3 linked regions of the Arabidopsis thaliana genome follow. The protein of the gene in region 2 interacts with the protein of the main gene of each other region in a pairwise test. Each region holds a gene or a part of one and is shown on either strand. Other genes may lie near its edges. The genes, in order: PIP1A, AT4G24090 and PIP1;4.

Region 1 (4,793 bases), on a different chromosome or scaffold from region 2:
AACAGAGGCCATTGTTGTCGACTAAAACGGAGTAACCGAAGTTTGAAGAGACAAGAGAGTGAAGAAAAGTTTAGAGGAGGAGTGATTGGTGAGGTGGAGAAGAAAGCAATCATATAAATGGATGAGAAAACGAGACAAATACATTGCATCATCATCCATTACCATTGGTGTTAAGAATATAATAATACAAGTTGCTTGTTGGAACTATGTGAGAAAAGTAATTGTGGATTTGTGGTAAGTGAAGTGTTCTTGTCAGAGTTTTATTCGTACTCGTGGAATGATCAAACTTACAGTCAACTTCTTACACCTGTTTCTAGTAAATTTTTAACTTCTTTTCTTATACAGTTTACTTTTTTCTATCGGTCAAGGAATCTTCGTGCTTTGTTGAAAAGTATTTGACAAATGGAACCATTTTTCTGATGGTTTTTGGTGGCTGTGTCTCAATTCCATTAGGATTTAGGCGAGGTTGGTGACACTGACACGTTTAAAATACCATTACAATACCTAACCGGTTAAGCGGTGATAGACCATCTTAATTTGGGTTTATATAGGTTCTCGTTTACCAATATCCATGTTAAACATCTTTGATCTGTAATAAACATGTTAAACATCATAATTTGCAAATAATTCTCCTTTGGAACTTCTTCCTTGTTTACAAATATTGCATTAAGAGGGCACATAGATAAACACATTGCACACATACATGTAGTAGATCAACAATAGAACTATAGAAGCAACTAAGGACAAGGCCAGAAACCAGAGGACTTGATGTCTTGTTTTTACTTAGCTTCTGGACTTGAAGGGGATGGCTCTGATGACAACCACATGGTAAAGAGCAGCAAGTGCAGCTCCAATGAAGGGGCCAACCCAAAACACCCACTGGAATGACGACAAAAAAAAACGAAATTGTCAGGGAAAAATGCTCGAAACCGAGTTTGGAATGCGATTTGGTATATAGTGTGTGGAAACTCACGTGGTCATCCCAGGAATGGTCTTTGTTGTAGATGATTGCAGCTCCAAGGCTTCTAGCTGGGTTGATGCCTGTGCCAGTGATTGGGATGGTTGCCAAGTGAACCAAGAAAACCGCAAACCCGATTGGGAGTGGTGCAAGAATCTGCACAATTATTACAAAACTCAAGCCGGTAAGCAACAAATCCAATATTGAGAATCAGTCTTTAGTGCACACTAATGGCAGCTTCAAGTTCACTCATTTCAATTGTTTCTAGCAATTGTTACATGGACTGGTTACTTACGGGGACATGAGAGTCACACTAAAGGCAGCTTAAAAGTTCACTCATTTCAATTGTTTCAAGAAGCTATTAGCAGATATGTTACAAGGAGTGGTAACTTACAGGGACATGAGAGTCACGAGCATTTCTCTTGGCGTCAGTTGCTGAGAAGACTGTGTATACAAGAACGAATGTGCCAATGATCTCAGCTCCAAGACCACTTCCCTTGGTGTAACCATGAGCCACAGTGTTAGCTCCTCCTCCTAGAGCCTGGTATTGCTTAGGCTGGAACCCTTTAACCACTCCAGCACCACAGATAGCTCCCAAGCACTGCATCACTATGTAGTACAGAGCTCTAGTAAGCGACAGCTTCCGGGCTAAGAACAGACCAAAAGTAACCGCTGGGTTGATGTGTCCACCTGAGAGTTACATATAAAAAAAATACATTCCAAGATTAGGCTAAAGGACACAATTCATATTAGAAAACTGCAAATTCCACCAAGATTGTAGCTTTCTGAGATTTCTTGAATCAGATACAAATGGAACAAGTTCAGGCTAAGAAGCTATAAATCTAAACACAATTTTCTCAAGATTATAGCTTTATCGTCTTCTTTCACAACCCAAACACTCGGAAACCTAATTACAGTAAAAAGGCGTATACTTGGAGAAGTAGAGTGACTTACCGGAGATACCAGCGGTACAGTAGACTAAGGCAAATATCATACCACCGAAAGCCCAAGCGATTCCTTGGATTCCGACGGAAGCACACATGTTCGGTGACCTTTTCACTCCCATAACAGTCAAGACAGTGATGTAGAGAAAGAGAAAAGTAGCGATGAACTCAGCGATCCCAGCTCTCCAAAAAGACCATGAAGAAAGCTCACCAGGTTCGAAAAACGGAGCTGGTGGTGGTTCCTTGTAGTCCTTGTCACTCTGAGCTGATGTTCCGATTGGTTGTCTCTCCGGGAACTTGTTAGCTCCAACTCTAACGTCTTCTTCCTTGCCTTCCATATCTTCGATCTCTGTAGAGAGAAATTGTAAAGCTCTGTTTTTTTTCTTCTTCTTCTTCTCTGAGTGTGGGATTTGAGAAAGTAGAGTGGTTAATTATATAGTTGGAAGATGTAATGCAAAGAAAGTTGAGAAATAAAAAATAAAGACGATGATGACAAATTGACAATAACATAAAATTTTGTTAATGTTATCTTCGTAGTAATCATACTTACTAAATAAATCTAATTATTGGATTGGGTCAGTGATAATTTAACCGTTTGGACTTTGGACAGAGTTTTGAATGCTCCATTCCAGCTATTTTTGTAGTTTTATCAGTAATGTTTTCTAATCAAAAATAGATCAATGTCTGTTTTTAATAATCCCTCATGATTGTCACTAATTTGGTTAGTTACTAACTGTTACGAACAAAACATGATCCTCCAGTTGAGATGATCTGGCGTTTGCCAGCCAGGATAAGAAGTTAAGAACATCTGTACCATAAGCACCATGCACATTCATTATGTACCATGACTATGACATTCTCCATAATGATTAATGAGTGTACCTACAGAGTTGGGAAATTAAGAGATAGTACCAATAATTCTGTTTTTTCTCTCTTCATGATCGTCTAAACTAACTTTTTTTATTTATGATGATTGATAATCGTTATCGAACTAGTGAATAAATTTTTTCTATCATCAAAGTTACAAAGCACTGGTTTGTGCCAAGATTACAAATTATTTGTTCCTACCACAAAACGTAAGTAGTGTACTAATTGCCAAATAGAAAAGACAATGTTAAAGAAAACAAAAACATGCTTAGTGGTTGCTATATTGTTCTGGAATGGGCCCTATGGCCCTACGCTCTTGTAGCATCCAAGGGCCATCTTGATTACCACCTAGTATTTTCCAACTCCTTATCAATCATTTTGACACTGTAATTAAGTAATTAATGATAAAAAAGGCTCATGTGAGATACTTTCTCAAACTAAAAATCCACATTTACACGATTTGAGGACCTTCAATCTTTAAATTATTATTTTTATATGTATATTTAAGCTGCAAAATAGAAACACTTAAAACCAAAATGTTGAAACATCAGCTAAAATCACTAGCCACTAAAAAAAAAGACCGACCCATTAAGCCTCATGACATGATAAAAGAATGTGTGAAGTGTGATTTTGGAATTTTTATGTTGGAGACTGATTATTTAATAGCCGTCCAATGCATCGACGATAAGATACGTGGAGTCATACCACCTAATGCCGGCGCCTTACATATCCAAAACCGACCATTTATCTTATGACATATGTACTCGATCAATTTATTAATTTTATTGTGGCTGCTATTCATGATTGCATTTGCCCCACCTAGCCACCCCCATTTGCGTCACGGCTCCATAAAAAAAAAAAATATTCATTGACCAAACACAAAAAAACAAGCGAAAATTACCAATGTCCTCCTAACATGAAATTAATAAGACAAATGTTATCGTCTGCCTATAATAAACTAAAAAAAAACAATAAAAAAAAGTTGCGACTTTTAGCTCGAGACAATAAATGGGCCATACATATACGGGCTTAAGCTAACAACACTACTATTGATCGCAGGCCCGGTTAAACAAGGCTCGTACACGTGGCTCTTGAGACTCATCAACTTCGGGTGTGAACTGTTGAACCATCTCAAGACATGAGCTATCACGGCTCGTACACGTGGTTCTAACCACCTCATTATCTCTCGAACTTAAAATTAACAAAATTCCCAAATTATTTAGCTATTTTTGTCTGATCTGCCGACGCTAGCCGTTCTCCTCCGCCAGATTCAAATATTTCCTCCGCCGTCGACACTCCTTACCTCCTCCGGCTCACAAACTTAATCCACCAATTTTACCATGCTTTAGAACCTTGGGCATATATCAATGGAGAAGCGAGTCAAATACAAGAGCTTTGTGAAGGATCCAGGAACTCTTGGATCCCTCGAATTAGTAAGAATACTTTAACTCTTTGCCACTATATGATTTCTATTTTTGTTTCCTTACTCAATGGTTTTTTTCTCAAAGGATCTTCCAATTTTTGTTCTCAGAGTGAAGTGATGCTGCTCTTTGTCCCAAATGATCCTAAATCAGATTTGAAGCTTAAAGTTCAGACTCACAACATCAAAAGTAAGTGTTTGATTATCCATATTGTTCATTCAGATTTATCATGAATAATTTCTCTAAATGATTATTGTGCCATGTTAAATTTCTCAGGTCAGAAATATACCAAAGAAGGATCAAATAAACCTCCTTGGCTCAATCTGACCAGCAAGCAGGTTGTTTTTCCTCGGCCCTTTTTGCTCAAGGCTAAAAAATATTGATAGGTGTATCACTGAAGTTTCCTCGTCTTTGATTATTACAGGGAAGGAGTCATATCTTTGAGTTTGAAAATTATCCTGACATGCATGCTTGTCGTGATTTCATCAGTAAGCTCCACGTGCCATGATTTGGTGTTATTGATTCATTTTAAGTATTTTTTCTGTGTTTCTTTCGTGGTGTTGTTGCTGTAACCAATTGTGCTATGAACAGCTAAGGCCCTTG
Region 2 (4,507 bases):
AAACCAAACAAAATGCAAGACCAACTTAATTCTCTTCTCTTGTAATTCTGGAGCTTAAGTTAGAGATTGGGTGTTGTCATATTAAATTTGTTAATCATACTGATTACTTTCACTCACATTTGTTCTTGTTATTGTTTATGTTAAATCGTCACTCACATTGTATGCACATGTCAGATTCAGACCAATGTTAAAAGTGCATTATTTTGTTTGGAAGCGTGTGAGAAAACAAAAAGTTTATGTACATAACATAAATCCAAAAGTACTACTCGAATAAAGTACAAACTTTATATCTTTTAAACTCCACGTAATAACTCATTTTTGTTTGTTTTAATCAAAAATTCAAACGTCTAAAATTTCGTCTTAAATAAGAAATGATATTAAGAAAAATATCTTTGGATTAATAACAGATCACCGAAAATTAGAATATGGTTTTACCAACCCAATTAAATTCTCAAATTAATTGGAAAGAGAATAATGTTGACAACAACAAAAAGGAAATAAATCGCATGCAATGAAAGGAATGAATCTTCTTCTTCTTCTTCTCTATTAACGCTTCTTCTTCTTCTCCTTCTTCATCACCCTCCTCCACTTCTCTCAGTCACAATGGCGACCAAAAAATCTCTGAAATCACGTCTCCAAGATGGAGAAAAGCTTCTCGGCCACTTTCTTCTCTCCTTTTCTCCGGAGCTTGCAGAGATCGCTGCAAGAGCTGGATTTGACTTCATTGTCGTCTACCTTGAGCACGGTGCCGGCGGGATTCGTGAAGCGCTTCACTGCATTCGAGCAATCGAAGCCGCTGGTTGCTCCACTGTCCTCCGTGTACCCGACATTAGTCAGGCTTGAGCTAAGAAAGCGTTAGATCTCGGACCCGACGGCATTATGTTCCCAATGGTCGAAACCGGAAGATCTGCATCCGAGGCGGTCTCGTTTTGCCTGTATCGTCCTGACGGTGTTCGCGGCTGTGCTTACTCCGTTGTGAGAGACTCCAGCTTCGGATTTAACGAAGGGTATTTGGGTAATTACGCTGATAAGCTCTTCATTATGTGCCAGGTTCGATCCTCAAATCCCCTTTGATTTTCAATTTTATTGGACGAAATTGTTAAATTGAATTCTAAAATGCCTACTTGTGAAAAAAATGGAAGTTAGAATTTTTATGCAATTGATATATTTTGTGCAGATTGAATCAGAGGAAGGTATGAAAAATGTGAAGGAGATCATAGCCGTTGATGGGATGGATTGTGTGATGATGGGGCCGAGAGATCTGAGTGCGAGTTTGGGGTTACTTAACGATCCAGGAAACCCGAAGGTGAAGTCGGTCATGAGGGTGGCTGAGACGGCGGTGTTGGCCTCTGATCCGGCGAATGGTGGAGCTTACTTGGCAGGGATGGCCACGGCTCAGGACAAAACCGGTGATCTCAAGGCACGTGGGTATCACGTGGTGCTCGGGTCAACCGATGTGTCGCTGTACAAGAAGGCTGTGGTTGATGAGGTCAACGCTTTTAAAGCGTAGTGTCGGAATTAGATTAGAGTCTGAATAAAACGGGAATTAGAGTGCTTTGTAATAAGTGATGAGTTTATGTACCCCATGATTATCTTCTACTTTGTTAGTTATGTCTACTACTTTGTTAGTTTTGACTTTTGAGCAAGTCTTGTTAAGATTCGCATTATCCAAAAGAAAATTTAAAGCCGCATTAACAGTGTTTAGCTCTGGTGTTACTAAAGAAAAAGTGATTATGCGGGTCAAACACTTCTCAAATAGTTTGCTTTGATTTCTTTGGAGAACTGAAATGCATGCCGTTTCGAAATATTAGAATGCATGTCGTTTCGTGGATTTCAGTACCAGTAAAGGCTAATGCTGATGCATCGTTGCATTTTAAAAATCGTGTCGTTTTTCATTCCGTTTTAGTGGCCACTCTTCGCAACCAGATAAGAACTCGAAGATTTTCTTTTTCTTTATCAAAATGCAATCTTTATCTCTGCAATCGCTTCCATGGAAACCAAATTCAGTGACTTTACCTGAAATTAATCTTTTGAATCCCAAGCAATTGACTGCCTCGAGTTCTCAGTATCGTAGAACTCGAAACTGGAGAATTAGAAGTTCGTCGGAAGATAATGTAGCAATTTCGAGTGACGGCGGAGATTTGAAGAATTCTCTGTCCGGTATTGTGGGAAATCAAGTGGAGGAGCTATTGAGCAGAGAAGAGAACAAAGGTTTGCTTGATGGTCTGGAAAAAGCTTCGTTGAGAGTGGAGATTGCGAAGAGAGAGCTCGAAGATATAGAGAGACAAGAAATTGAGGCGAAATTGCTACAGGATTATATTAATCAGCTCGAATCAAGAGCCGCAGAGGTGAGAGCTTGTTCTCGAAATGGTGTTAGATATGAAAATGATTGAACATTTGATTCTTTTGCTCTTTGGAATTTGAGGTTTTTGGGAGGTTCTACTATAGAGTATAGATTAAGGTTGCATTGAGAATGATTGGTTTATATTACAATGGACTAGTGAATTTGTGCAGTATATATTTATATGCCAGGATAAGCTCAAGTTGTGCATTGTATGCTTAGGATAGGATAGGTAATTCAAAGTATCAATCAATATCAATGGTGTTGCTTTTGTGCTTGAAACCTGGAAATGGGGTTTCTCTTAGTTTGTGTGAAGGTACTTCATTAGATAAGGTTACTAACTAAATCATGAGTTTGGTTGCATTTTGTGTTTTCTCGTGTTTTGGAACAAAGTCTCTAGTTTGGTTTTGTATTTGTAGACAGAGCATGTTAATCTTATTCAATATCTGATTCAAGATTGCAGAATGCCAGCAGGAGATTGACGCAGCAAGATCAATGGTTGAGGAAGCAGAACGCTCCTTGTCATTAGCAGATAACTCGACAATTGGAAGTTCGGAGAAAGGTTATTCGATTGATAAAGACAAGGAGAGGTTAGAATCTGCAAAAGCGGCAGTGATCGCAGCTGCGGTTGGGACCATTGCGGAACTCCCATTTGCTCTTTCTCAAGTCGCAAGCATGGAGCAGCTTGTTCTGCCCCTGGGAATAGCGTTTGCAAGCTGTGCATTGTTTGGAGTCACATTCAGGTATGCAGTCAGAAGAGACTTGGATGATAATCATCTCAAATCCGGAGCCGTTGCAGCTTTTGGGTTTGTTAAAGGTAACAACACATTTGATTACTGTTTCTATCTAACTTCTTTGAATTGTTCAAAAGCAATTGCGTTTTGTGATTGAATAAGCTTAACAGAAATGGTAAAAGAAAAAGACTTTCTTTGTCTTTGTCATGTTATATATTGTGTGGAAGTATGAGCTGGCAAAGTTCCCATCGTTGTCCCGCCCTTTGGTTGTTTTTAAATTATAATCTGCCAGTAATAGATTACTAATCAACGATTTGATTTATTCTAAATAATTGATGAGTTGATTATTAGTCTCTGACCTGTATTATTTGGATCTGTCTTTTTTTAAAAACAGATTTATTATAGATTCGATTTTTTTTAATGTGTTATATAGGACTTGGTATGTTGAGCAGAGGACCGCCATTGGAGCTGAGCTGGGAAAGCTTGTTTTCACATGGGATAGACGGCGCCGTTTTGGTGTCTCAGAGCGTCTTGATATTTGCGTTTGCGTCCATAGGTTTGGACTTCTGTTTCAAGATGAAGCTCTTAAGACCATTTCCTAGCTCTGACTAGATTGAAGAGCAAATTAAAAATGTAGAAATGAACAAAATCTTCTTTTGAAGACTTTATTTGTTTTTTTTTATATTATTAATTTTGGTCTAAAATGTAAATGTTTCATCCTAGATTTTTATGATCTTTAACTTGTCACAAAAAAAGTTACACCTGATTTTAAAAGCATGATCATAAGGAATATTGAATTTAGAATGATGAATCCATACATAATTCAAATTTTGCTATAAAAAATGAATCAGTTGGGATAATTCTTTCTTTTAACTTTGTATAAAAAGTTATGAGGAATATTTATCTTTGTCAAGTGATGAAGTGATTAGTGACTTGTGAACTTAACCAAAGAGGTAGATGGGGTCAAGGCCATTCCTAGCCATTCATTATTTATAGTAAAGCCACGTGTAATAATCTTAGAAGCTTACAGATATACCACGTCAGCACAAAACAGTTCTTTTGTCTTTCGATCGCTCTCAAATCGCGTTTTGTCGTGGAGGTCAACTGATCAGAAAAATATAGCAAGCAGAAAGTGAAAAACAGCTGAATTATTATTTTTCTATACAAAAAATTAAAAAATTAGTATCCAATTTCAATGGGGTTTCGACTTGTTCTCGAGTAAACTACTAGTCTCTATCTCTCTCAGCTCCAGATTTTGTTTCTTCTTCTTCTGTGTTAAATTCATTTGATTTGTTGTATCTGAAGGCGAAATTACTGGTTTCTGATTTTTGGTGGTATTCAGGGCGGTTTTAAAGCGACGGAAGAAGATGGTGGGAGGAGGAGGAGGTAGTAGTGGTCGTGGTGGTGGTAGTGGTAGTGGTAGTAGTAAGCA
Region 3 (4,691 bases), about 12 Mb from region 2:
TATGAATGTCATATTATAGACATACGTATGCGGCTTTGGTCGGGACCGGCCCAATAAAACAATACACATGTTCAACGGGTTCTTCCACGTGTCAAACTTATGTTGGCTGGACGGTATGTGACTGTGCATTGTGGTTACGTTTCCAAAATGAATACGTAAGAACTTTTCCTAAATTATGTCTTTTGCACAATACTGTAAGTCTGTAACTATGGTACTAAACATTATAATATCGAATTGGAAACATTTACATTTGAGAATTTTAGTGTTTGTTGGCAACGAAGCATGTGAGATCACAGAGAAGCAATACTCATCTCTGAGCTGTTCAAACAGTTTTACATGTCAGCACCCAAATATAGTCACTATATTCAAAAACAAAATTATTTACTTGCATTCAATGCTAGCCTTTTTTATTCGGTCCACAACAAATTATAAATATTTGTATATAAGAAAAATCAGAGACCTGATTTTGTAATGCGTGGCTTGTCAATTTCAAGCAACACAGAAAAAAGCTAACTAAGCAAAAAACAAAAAAAAATAACAAGTGGCTGGTTGATAGAATGTATCTTTCATCAGTACATAACACTGTTTTTTTGTCAACGTAAAACAGATTTTTATAACTTTTGTTTGCCCTCAACTTTTTTCATTACATTTTCTGGAATATCGCATGGTTGAATAATTAAAAGTTAAAAATGATTTTTATGAAGCACGGCATTATACTATATAGTCAGTCCCAACGAAAATGACTTTACATAAAGCTGTCAATTTTTTCTCCAACGGTCAGATAATTGTTTCGTTGAATAGTCAGTTTTTTTTTTACTATTTTACTATTGGGCTTTATTGGGCTCTTACAATTTTATCGATTTTTGTTTACCGTCCAGAAAGTGGACCCTGTGGGAAGAGGAAAAGAAAAAAAAAGGGTCAGGTTTTTTGTCTTTATACGAGAGCACATCGGTACGTTCCAGAACAACCCTCTCTAGTCTCCTCCATCATTATCTTTATTTAATAGTAACCCTAGTACAAATTACCAAACTATTCAACATTAACATAATTATTCAACATTCACCATCATGAATAATAACTAGTTGAGAAAAACGTAACTAGACTAGTTTGATCTGTCAACATAAAAAGAGAAAAAAGAATTTCGTGACTAGTAAAGTTTAAGACCATTCACAAATGATCATTGAAATTATTAGTTCTAAACTCTTAGTTTGGTTATCTATTTGGTTTTGATTCGTATCTATTTGGTTATTCGGTTTTTTGGTTTTAAAGTTTAGTATTCATTCGACTATTTTGAAATTTTGGTTCGTTTTTTTTTTTTTTTTTGAAATTTAATATCCATTCGATTATTTTGCTTTTAATATTTTTAAATATTTCAATTATTTTTTGATATTTTTTGAATATTGTTACTATTTAATATATATTTTTAAATATTTTTAATTACTAAGTATAGAAATAACTAATATTTTTGAAAATAAAATTATATTTTGGATATTTTAGATCATCTAAAATATTTTAGTTAGGTACTAATTCATTTTTGGTTATTTTGATTATAAAATTTAATATCTATTCAACAATTTTTAAATTGTTGATTCAATTCGGTTCTGTTTTTTTTTTTCATTTAGGTTTAGTACATTTGGTTCAGTTTATTTGACTCTCAGTTTATTTGCCTAAGCCTTGAAATTAGGTGTTAACTATTGGTTATTCTAGTTGAAATTTGAAATAAAGAAAAAACTATACGTTATACTATTTTATTTTCTTAGCAATAACTAAAAATAAATGTTTGGAAACGTTAGGCAATTTTATTATATTCTATCGTTGTTCTCTATAAATGAAGTCTCGACCACACACTTGGTAGCTACACACGAGAAAGAAAAAGCTCACAACTTTAACCTTTCTGGAGAGAGAAGAACAAAAGAGGGAGAGGGAGAGAAATGGAAGGCAAAGAAGAAGATGTACGAGTGGGAGCTAACAAGTTCCCGGAGAGGCAACCCATCGGTACATCGGCTCAGTCCACCGACAAGGACTACAAAGAGCCACCTCCTGCGCCACTGTTCGAGCCCGGCGAGCTCAGCTCATGGTCTTTCTACAGAGCCGGAATAGCTGAGTTTATCGCTACTTTCTTGTTTCTCTACATCACTGTTTTGACTGTAATGGGAGTTAAGAGAGCACCAAACATGTGTGCTTCTGTTGGAATCCAAGGTATCGCTTGGGCTTTTGGTGGCATGATCTTTGCTCTTGTCTACTGTACTGCTGGAATTTCAGGTAACCTTCTCTCGATTTTCCCATTTTTCTGTAATCTCTGTTTTGGTGGGTTCTCTGTTTTGGTTCTGCTTTATTTGCTCTGTTTTGTTTCTGAAAACCATTATGTGAGTCCTCTGTTTTTGTTCATGCTCTGTTTGACCTAGAAAATGTAAAGGAACCAAAAACAGTTATAAAGCAGGAAACTTTGGGTTCTTTTGATGCTTGGGCTTATCTAGATCTGTATGTTACACCAATTTTACTGTTGATTTCTCAGATAAAGCTCACATCTTTGTGTAACATGTGTTTGTGTTTGTGTGTTTTTAGGTGGACACATCAACCCTGCTGTAACATTCGGTCTGTTCTTGGCTCGGAAGTTATCTCTGACCAGAGCAGTGTTCTACATGATTATGCAATGTCTTGGAGCCATCTGTGGTGCCGGAGTCGTCAAAGGTTTCCAGCCAACGCCGTACCAGACTCTCGGTGGTGGTGCTAACACCGTTGCTCATGGCTACACCAAAGGTTCTGGCCTTGGTGCTGAAATCATCGGAACATTCGTTCTCGTCTACACTGTCTTCTCCGCCACCGACGCCAAGAGAAGCGCCCGTGACTCACACGTCCCGGTATGGACCCCTCTCTTAGTTCCGGTTTGCTGATTTTATTGCTTTAATTAGACTACTAACCGATCGAATTTCCCCGGTTTTATTGGTTTAACAGTTTATGACTAATAATTGGTCACTCTCTATTGTAGATTTTGGCGCCGCTCCCAATCGGATTTGCAGTGTTCTTGGTACACTTGGCAACAATACCGATCACCGGGACCGGAATCAACCCAGCTAGAAGTCTTGGAGCCGCAATTATCTACAACAAGGACCACTCTTGGGATGACCATGTGAGTAAACAACTCTAATGAAAAGGACAACTCAAAACGTATTATGATGTTTTCTAATATATTTGAATTTGTAAAATTGTGGTGGTTGTTGCAGTGGATTTTCTGGGTTGGACCATTCATTGGAGCAGCTCTAGCAGCACTATATCACCAGATTGTCATCAGAGCGATTCCTTTCAAGAGCAAGAGTTAGAGACACACAGAAAGATTCCACGGTCCAGAATTTGTTCTTTAGTAGTTTCTTTGCTTATCTATCTAATGTAGCTTGTGTTTTGCAATGTAATGAGCCTTTCAAGAATATGTATTTGGGATTTCTAATCAGCTTTTGTCTATGTAAAAACTATGTGTTTCTTTTTTCTTCCTATACTCGTCTCAGATGCTTTATGGCAAAGGGTCTCTGAAGTCTAAGGTGATTAGTGCTCCGGTTATTGATGTTTTGAATAGTTTGTTCGACGAATATAAAATAAACATAGTCAACCCTCATTCTGTATCAACATCAAGTTCTCGGGTTGGTTTTGAGAGACATGATTATGAAGATGATCATGACTTCGTGAATGTGGGGGTTGAAGGATTGGCCTCTGTTTATGACAAGATGGTGAATGAAGAGCTTGACTATTGTGTACTTGCAAGAAAGTGTTGAAAACACAAGGGCCAATACATTGGAAACAGAATATGATGTGTTTCATACTAGAAGCTCAGTAGTCTTAAGCTTCCGGTTTTATTTGTACTAGCTAGAGATATTCTAGCTATGCAAGTTTCTTCTGTAGCTTCTGATTCTTGTTTTAGCACCAGTGGTCGGATCTTAGAGCCACAGAAAAGTTGCTTAACACATTATATGATTGAGGTCTTGTTGTGTACTGAACAATAGATGATTTAAATAATTTTTGTGATTTTTTTTTATTTTAGTTTCCTAAATTTTAGTAACAAAATCGATTTATAGATTTGATAATAAGTTTGTTAAAACATTTAATGCCAATGGCATTGGGTTGTAAATAAGTTCAAACTCCAGGATTTATTTCATAAAAGTGTTGCAAAAATATATAAGTAGATTCTGTACCGTTTGTAATATGGGTTAGTTTTTGATATTTTTTCTCCGTTATTATTTTGTTTGTTTTCGATATTATTTGTTTTTTTTTACAAATAATTTTGTTTTTTTTATTGCATCATTCTATTATAACCCGATTGACAATAAATAACCAAATTTTTCTTTATCGGTTAAAAAACTTTAAATGATTTATTATTTGTTTATATTTTAGATTGTGCATATATTTCTTTGATTCAGTATTATGTGTTTTAAAAAATTTGAATCATAATATATGCAGAAAAAACAAGAAATTTATTAACCATATATAATTTATAATAATTCAAATAATATAAGTACATAAAATCAAATAAAAGTGAAATGAGAATTATGTATTTATGTTTATTAGGTAGAGAGGTTTTAGAAAATTAGCCCAAACATTTTATATTAGCATTAAATCATCATATTTAATTTTTTATCTACAAAAATTGTAAAGAATATACCATATATAAAAAATTTAGATATAGTAATTATTTTTTATAA

The links.
Region 1: the proteins of AT4G24090 (region 2) and PIP1A interact in a two-hybrid assay, tested with the Arabidopsis thaliana proteins (one large-scale study listed by BioGRID).
Region 3: the proteins of AT4G24090 (region 2) and PIP1;4 interact in a two-hybrid assay, tested with the Arabidopsis thaliana proteins (one large-scale study listed by BioGRID).

What each region holds. Positions count from the first base shown.
Region 1 is NC_003074.8:22,731,104-22,735,896, reverse strand, and holds PIP1A (plasma membrane intrinsic protein 1A), read right to left. Parts: upstream 2,655-4,793; 5' UTR 2,241-2,654; coding exon 1,913-2,240; intron 1,649-1,912; coding exon 1,353-1,648; intron 1,115-1,352; coding exon 974-1,114; intron 880-973; coding exon 784-879; 3' UTR 503-783; downstream 1-502. Other genes in the region: CYSC1 (cysteine synthase C1), read right to left, coding at 1-12; AT3G61420 (BSD domain (BTF2-like transcription factors, Synapse-associated proteins and DOS2-like proteins)), read left to right, coding at 4,137-4,202, 4,301-4,379, 4,467-4,528, 4,615-4,678, 4,782-4,793. UniProt on the Arabidopsis thaliana protein: Water channel required to facilitate the transport of water across cell membrane. Its function is impaired by Hg(2+).
Region 2 is NC_003075.7:12,510,781-12,515,287, forward strand, and holds AT4G24090 (homer protein), read left to right. Parts: upstream 1-1,884; 5' UTR 1,885-1,961; coding exon 1,962-2,348; intron 2,349-2,797; coding exon 2,798-3,158; intron 3,159-3,508; coding exon 3,509-3,687; 3' UTR 3,688-3,877; downstream 3,878-4,507. Other genes in the region: ALL1 (aldolase like), read left to right, coding at 604-760, 845-1,050, 1,178-1,510; AT4G24100 (Protein kinase superfamily protein), read left to right, coding at 4,271-4,293, 4,418-4,507.
Region 3 is NC_003075.7:184,772-189,462, reverse strand, and holds PIP1;4 (plasma membrane intrinsic protein 1;4), read left to right. Parts: upstream 1-1,782; 5' UTR 1,783-1,931; coding exon 1,932-2,262; intron 2,263-2,565; coding exon 2,566-2,861; coding exon of another isoform or gene 2,862-2,894; exon of another isoform or gene 2,895-2,989; coding exon 2,990-3,130; intron 3,131-3,224; coding exon 3,225-3,320; 3' UTR 3,321-4,178; downstream 4,179-4,691. UniProt on the Arabidopsis thaliana protein: Aquaporins facilitate the transport of water and small neutral solutes across cell membranes.